Macaca mulatta: one gene and its partner. Each later gene encodes a partner of the first gene's protein in a complex. Links are inferred from orthologs where the notes say so. Each region holds a gene or a part of one and is shown on either strand. Other genes may lie near its edges. The genes, in order: UBTF and POLR1H.

Region 1 (2,865 bases):
ATGTGTAAGATAGGAGCTCCCAGCACATTTCTTGAAGCCCAGGTTCTGAGCCTAGGGTGGCCAGGCTTGGCCCCTCAGATGAGCAGGGGAGGCCTTTTCCACCAAATACAAGCTTTAAGCTTCACACCATCTTGCCTGTCTTTCCGGAAGCCTTCCTGCTGGACAATGGAGACCAGCAGCTCGGATGCATGTGACCCTGGCAGAGGGAGCCTGGTCTGGGAAGCATCCTAGAGTGGCTTCGGCACACTCCCCCAGTGGAATCAGAGACTGGGCAAAACAGAGGATGTGGAGAATGGGATAGCCTCAGTCCGCTCCCACCAGGGTCAACATCTCCCGGCTCTCACCGACCCTTTTTCCAGATTCACAACAAACTGATGTGGGCTCTAGGACAGACCCCCTTACACACACACACACTCTCTTTTGCACACATCCACAGCTGCACCCATGCTATGTACAGGAACACACATACACATACTCTCTTCCACACACATCAAGACCATTTTTAAAAGGTTCCAAACCTACCCCTAAACCCTCCCTCTCCCAGAAATGACAACAGAGACGGCAGCCGAGATCGGTAGGAAACGTCTCGTTGACAGCTCAGAGCTTAAAAAAAAATATATACACATATATAAAAAACACTTCTGCCCCCTCCCCCATGAATGGGTCCAGGCAGCTCCTTCCTGCAGGGGGCAGGGGAGAGGGCCACCAGGGCAGCGCCTGTTTTCTCGAAGGCACCAGCCCTCCTCTCCCCACATTCCCTGCCTCCAGTTCCAATGCAGGGGTCCAGGTGGCAGGCCCCTCTGGGAAGGAATGCGTCTTCCCCAAGCTTCCACCCCACCTTGGATTGGGCCGCAGGTGTGGAGGGCCTCGTTGAACTCTTTGGGACCCCCCCCACCCCCACTCTCCGGTACACTGTCCATGCCGGAACTGCAAGTGCAGAGAAGTCACAGGGGTGGGCCAGGCTGGTCCGGTGCTGGCTTAGTCTGATGGTTGCTGTCCCTGGAGGAGGACCCCCAAGGGCTGATGTCTCTGAGGCTGCAGAGTCCTGGCCTGGGCTCCTCCAGCCCCCTACCCCCACCGTATTTTTTTTTTTTTTAAAAAGAAAGAAAGAAAGTGGGGGATGCCAGGGGGGCAGGGGACAGAACATGGGGGAGAAACAAAGGTGGTCAGTTGGGGAGGGGAGCTCCTGGGCTCTCCCTGGCTGCCCTGGGGTGGGGCTGAGCCTCAGTTGGAGTCAGAGTCTGAGGAGTCCCCTGAGGAGGAGGAGCTGGAGCTGCTGCCCTCGGACTCGTTGTCTTCATCCTCATCGTCATCCTCGTCATCATCTTCGTCCTCATCATCCTCTTCATTCTGGGGGGTGAGAAAGGATGTGGAGAGTCATCAGGTGACCATCCTGGCAGGAATCCCCTCCCCTCCCACTGTGCCCTGTCTGCCCCACCTCATCCCCATCCTCGCTCTCGTCTTCGCTGCTGGACTCGGAGGAGTCGCCGCCATCTTCAGAGGAGTCCCCATTCTCATCATCTTCCTCTTCTTCATCCTCATCCTCATCATCCTCATCCTCTTCATCATCCTCCTCGGACTCCTTGGAGGGACAGAGGCACATCAGTGGTCTCTGGTCTCTGCCCAGCCATTCCAGGCAGTCCCACCCGCCCCATGCCCCTGCATCTGGCAGGGGCTCCTTACCGACTTGGACTGCAGAGTAGTCCGGCTGGATTTGGGGTTTGGGCCTCGCAGCTTGGTCATGCTCTTACGTTTCTGCAGGATGGGGACACGAAGGTGGCAGCCGTGAGTTCCAGACACCCCTGAATCCCCCCACCCCTACCCCACTGCTGCTCTGCTCCCAGACTCACGTTGGAGATGTACTCTTTATATGCTGCACGGTCCTGGGGAGACAGGCTCTGGGGGAGACAGAGGTGGCAAGGGTTGGAATATAGCCAACTACTGCTGACTGAGCATGCTGGCCCAGTGCTAGGCAGTGGGCTGAGCATTTATATATCATCACCCCATCTTATCCCTCCCAGGCTCCCTAGATTTTAGGTCTCTGCAGAGAGCCCCTGTGATCTGAGAACACAGCTCCAATTTTTTTTTTTTTTTTTGAGACGGAGTCTCGCTCTGTCACCCAGCCCAGGCTGGAGTGCAGTGGCGCGATCTCGGCTCACTGCAAGCTCCGCCTCCTGGGTTCACGCCATTCTCCTGCCTCAGCCTCCCGAGTAGCTGGGACTACAGGCGCCCACAACCGCGCCCGGCTAATTTTTTGTATTTTTAGTAGAGACGGGGTTTCACCGTGGTCTCGATCTCCTGACCTTGTGATCCGCCCGCCTCGGCCTCCCAAAGTGCTGGGATTACAGGCGTGAGCCACCGCGCCCGGCCTCCAATTTTTTTTTGAAACAGGGTCTTGCTCTGTGTCCTGTGTCACCCAGGCTGGAGTGCAGTGGCACAATCTCAGCTCACGACTTGGCCTTCTCAGGCTCAAGTGAGCCTTCCAACTCAGCCTCCAGAGTAGCTGGGACTACAGGTGTGTGCCACCACACCATGCTACCTTATAATCATTTTTGTAGAGACAGCAGTCTCACTATGTTGCCCAGGATGGTCTTGAACTCCTGGCCTCAAGTGATCCTTCATACCTTGGGCTCCCAAAGTGCTAGGATTACAGGCGTGAGCCACTGCACTGGCCCAAGCTCTAGTATTTCTGCTTCTGATGCCCAGAGTCCTTCTATAAACCACTAAGACTGTTGGTTTTCACATTCACCCTATTGCTCTACACAAATGGAAGCTCCTATCAGAGTCTTCCTCACTCTTCCTCACTCCAAAGAAGTGCCCCTGTGATGAGTCAGCCTGGCATCATCAACCACACCCCAACATCAA
Region 2 (4,370 bases), on another chromosome or scaffold:
AAAAGACTACAGCTTGTGTCCTTCACAGGACAAAATAGTGATGGCTCCAGAACTTTCATATGAAGGAACTTAGCACAGCTATCAGAGTAGGTGGTGGTGGGAGGACTAGCAGGAAACTAGTAAACAACGACAAGCTGCCCCTTCAGGGAAAGTTTCTACTTCGAATATAAGTTACAGAGTAACGAAAATAGCAAGATTTCCGAAAGAAACTTATTCCCATGTTTTATAAAAGATCAGGGAAATGTCAGCTGTCCACTTAATGGATGACGAATAATGAATTAAGAGTTCGATAAGCGGCAGGCACAACTAAAAGCCAAACTCGACCTAAGTCTTATGAAATCCTACTTAATGAGCTTCTTGACTACTGCTAGCCTCACTTATCTGGCAGGAGTCGAAGGAGGGGAAGCCCCAAGCTCTTCTGTTCTACCACCTCCAAAGTCCTGAGCCCCTTCTCAAGTGTCCCACTTCATCCCTGCTTCCTTTCGTCCCGTGGGACTAAGGATTCCTCTGGCCTTCACCCTCACCACTTGCTGTCCCTCAAGAAGCCGACTCACCCCTTTCCAAGCGCGGTGAACCGTCCGCAAAGCACACAGGCCGGCTGCGCTCTGCAGAAAGCCCACGCTCGCCAGCGGGACCCAAGGAACGCTAGAACTATACATGCCAGAACACTTAGCTTTGTTTTTAACTACTGTGCAGCCGCAAAAGGGAAATACCAGCTCAGGACCCAGGGGAGTTGTAGTTCTCTAATCCAAAGAAGTCATTATTCAGCAAAGTACGGTTTTCAGGAGGATATTCCCCCGCGATTGGGTTCCCGTAGGATGTGAAACAGAGAATAAATATCCCAGGATTCGGTGCTGGTGGGAAAATTTGCTGGAAGCGCAGCATTGGTTACCAATTTTGTGCTCAACGTCTCAGTACCAGCCTGAAAGTTGAGCCCCAACCTCCCTTAGAAGTGGTGACTCTCCATCTCTAAGGCTTCCGAGACACGGTACGCAATTAATTATGACGTCACAGCCAATCGTCAGCGTGAAAGCGTGACGCTCTAGCCGGCTCTAGCTCGCTGCCCCGCCGCGGGCGCAGAGCTGGCGCTCTAGCCCACGGAGTTGGCCAGCTCCTCTCGCCGGCCCCAGGAAAGGGTTCCAAGTCCTTTTAGTACCCGACGCTGTCTGGGAGTTCCGGGCGTTTCGGCTCCTTGGTCGCAGAGGCAGGAGGCGTGCGTGGGAGGAGGACTCGGGTTATATACTCCTACGTCCTGGGACGGAATAGTTACCACCTCTGGGGCAGGAACTCTTCTCTCTTTTGTTAATAAACTTCTAACTCCCTCCTCAGACCCGACTGCATGTCTGTCATGGACCTCGCCGGTACTTGCTCCAGCTTTCAGTCGGACTTGGATTTCTGTTCAGATTGCGGCTCGGTCCTGCCTCTGCCCGGGGCTCAGGATACGGTCACCTGTACTCGCTGTGGCTTCAACATCAACGTTCGGGGTGAGAGGCTTGTACACAGGGGTCCTGGCGGAGGGCCCAGGATCGGAAGCTTGGGGAACTCAAGATCGGTTGGGTTGAGAAGGGGATCCTAGAGCAGGACATCAGGCAGTTGTACATTTGGTTCAGCGATGAAAACTGAGGGAAAGGATATAGGGCCTCCTGGCCTAACCAGCCAGGGGAGAGGGGAAGTTTCCGGTGTCAGCTCCCTCAGGTTGTCTCCATAACCCGTCTTACTTGCCTGTGCAGACTTTGAGGGGAAGGTTGTGAAGACTTCAGTTGTGTTCCACCAACTGGGGACAGCCATGCCTATGTCGGTGGAGGAAGGGCCTGAGTGCCAGGGACCTGTGGTAAGTTAATGAGATCAAGAACTGGCTCCATAAGGTGGGTAGGAAAGAAATGGAGGAGTGATTGCAGAGATCTGGAGAGTTTTGTGCCCAATTCCAAGTGGGAAAAGATGTAAAGCATCGATGTTTGAGAGGCGTGATCGCCTGATTCCTGTGGGAAGTAAGGGTATGATATGACCTGGCCTCCATAACCCACCAGTTTCTTCCCAGGTTGACAGGCGCTGCCCTCGATGTGGTCATGAAGGAATGGCATACCACACCAGACAGATGCGTTCAGCCGATGAAGGGCAAACTGTCTTCTACACCTGTACCAACTGCAAGTGGGTATCCTTTCCCCTCCCTTTGCTCAGTCTGTTTGCTAACTAATAAACAAATCCAGTGATTTATTTTTTTGTACTAAACGGCTGTGTCCTTTCGTCCCATCCCTTATTTCTGTGCAGTTCTGGTAAGAGGGAGATTTGTAGTTTTTATTTTTTTAAATTACACTTTTTTAACCCTTTTTGTAACCAGTGAAATAAACCTTTTAGGTTTTTTTTTTTTTTTACGGACAGGGTGTTGCTCTGTCACCTAGCCTGGAGTGCAGTGAGGCAATCTTGGCTCACTGCAACCTCCGCCTCCTGGGCTCAGGTAATCCTCCCACCTCAGCCTCCAAAATAGCTTTGGGACCACAGGCACGTGCCACCACACCTGGCTTTTTGTTTTGTTTTGTTTTTTGTATTTTTAGTAGAGATAGGGTTTCTCTCTGTTTCCCAGGCTGGTCTTGAACTCCTGAGCTCAATCAACCCACCTCAGCATCCCAAAGTGCTGGGGATTACAGGCATGAGCCACCCTGCCTGACCTTCTTTTAGGATATTTAAAAGGAAATGAATAAAAAAAACCAGAAGAAGCAAGTATTGTTTAGTGGTCAGCGTCTTATACTGCAGTCTTCAACCGCAGTCAAGGTAGCTTTACTTTGGAGAGAATTAGTCACACATGATTTAGAGAACATGGGCTTTCTGAATGCTTTTAAGACCTCATCTTTGTCTTTGGTGTTCTGCAGTCACTATAGTATATCAAAATGTGATTTTCTTTTATTCTGTTTGGGATTTGTTGGACTTTCTGAAACTGAGAGTGCATTGTTGTTTTTTGTTTTTTTTTTTGAAACGGAGTCTCGCTCTGTCTCCCAGGCTGGAGTGCAGTGGTGTGTTCTCCGCTCACTGCAAGCTCCGCCTCCCGGGTTCATGCCATTCTCCTGCCTCAGCCTCCTGAATAGCTGGGACTACAGGTGCCCGCCACCACGCCCGGCTAATTTTTTGTGTTTTTTAGTAGAGACAAGATTTCACTGTGTTAGCCAGGATGATCTCGATCTCCTGACCTTGTGATCCACCCGCCTCGGCCTCCCCAAGTGCTGGGATTACAGGTGTGAGCCACTGCGCCTGGCCTAGAGTGGATTTTTTTTTTCATCAACCTTGGAAAATTATCAGCCATCATCTCTTTTAATATTCTCTTTCCCCCATGTTCTCAGTCCTCACATTCTGGACCTCTAATTAGTTACTAGAATGAGATTTCTCTCTTCTGTCCTCCATTTCTCTCGCCTTCTTTTCATATTTTCAATCGCTTTTCTCTTTATGCCACCTTCTGAGTAATTTCTTCAGGTTCCTCTTCCATGTCACTAATTCTGTCTTCAGTTTATTTCAAGTATTATTATTTTTTACTATTGTTATTATTTTGAGTTCTATTTAATTACTTTTCAAATCTCAATTTTTAAATAATTCTCAGTTCCTTAATAATATTTTAAATTGTTCCTTTTACTAGTCTTTATATATTTAAAATATTAAATGTGGTTATTATATTCTATGTCTCATAATTCTGATATCCGTGGATTTTGTGTGTCTGATGCTGCTGTCTGTTTCTGCTGTCTCTCTCATAGTGCTTTTTTCTTTGTTTTGTAATTTTTGACAATAAATTTGAGTTTTTTAGAACTTGAACTGTAGGAATTCTCTGAGGCCTTGGGTAAGTGTTGTATTCTCAGCATTTGTGTTTCTTTTCTAGGTGCCTTGAAGCACTATCAAGCTGGAATTACTTTAAATAAATTCTTGGCTTCATGTTTTTTGGAGCAGACAGATAGTATGAATTTGAGCTGCAAATCCATGTAAGGGCTAGCTTATGGCTAGAAATTCTCAGGAAAGAGTTTTCTCTCTTTCTACCTACTGAGACAGTCAAATTCCCCTTCTATAGAGTTGAATTTCTTTCTTTTCTTGTTCACTTTTACAAAAAAGGGCAGGCTTTTGCAGTTCCCAAATTTATGCACAGGATCTCCTATCAACCTTGCACATTTTGTCCCTCATTTCCTATGCTTCCAGTGACTGTTGCAACAGTATAAAGGGCACCAGAGTGTCACTGTCACATTTCATAGGGACATCAGTTTTAACTTCACTGTCTGGATTTCTGGTTTTACAGAACTTTTAACCAGTATGAAGATTGCCTTTACTTTCTTGCCATCTCATCAAAAGATTAAAAATATTCATAGTCAGATATATCTTTTAAAAGTATTTTTTCTATC

What was found.
Region 2: UBTF (region 1) and POLR1H share a complex: the UniProt entries of both Homo sapiens proteins name them as parts of the pol I pre-initiation complex. The link is inferred for Macaca mulatta from reciprocal best matches to the Homo sapiens genes UBTF and POLR1H.

What each region holds. Positions count from the first base shown.
Region 1 is NC_133421.1:68,578,968-68,581,832, forward strand, and holds the end of UBTF (nucleolar transcription factor 1), read right to left. Parts: intron 2,130-2,865; exon of another isoform or gene 1,899-2,129; coding exon 1,851-1,898; coding exon of another isoform or gene 1,801-1,850; intron 1,756-1,800; coding exon 1,684-1,755; intron 1,660-1,683; exon of another isoform or gene 1,620-1,659; coding exon of another isoform or gene 1,583-1,619; coding exon 1,439-1,582; intron 1,351-1,438; coding exon 1,225-1,350; 3' UTR 572-1,224; downstream 1-571. UniProt on the Homo sapiens protein: Recognizes the ribosomal RNA gene promoter and activates transcription mediated by RNA polymerase I (Pol I) through cooperative interactions with the transcription factor SL1/TIF-IB complex.
Region 2 is NC_133409.1:152,983,310-152,987,679, reverse strand, and holds the start of POLR1H (DNA-directed RNA polymerase I subunit RPA12), read left to right. Parts: upstream 1-1,339; coding exon 1,340-1,484; intron 1,485-1,730; coding exon 1,731-1,831; intron 1,832-2,038; coding exon 2,039-2,148; intron 2,149-4,370. UniProt on the Homo sapiens protein: Core component of RNA polymerase I (Pol I), a DNA-dependent RNA polymerase which synthesizes ribosomal RNA precursors using the four ribonucleoside triphosphates as substrates. Can mediate Pol I proofreading of the nascent RNA transcript.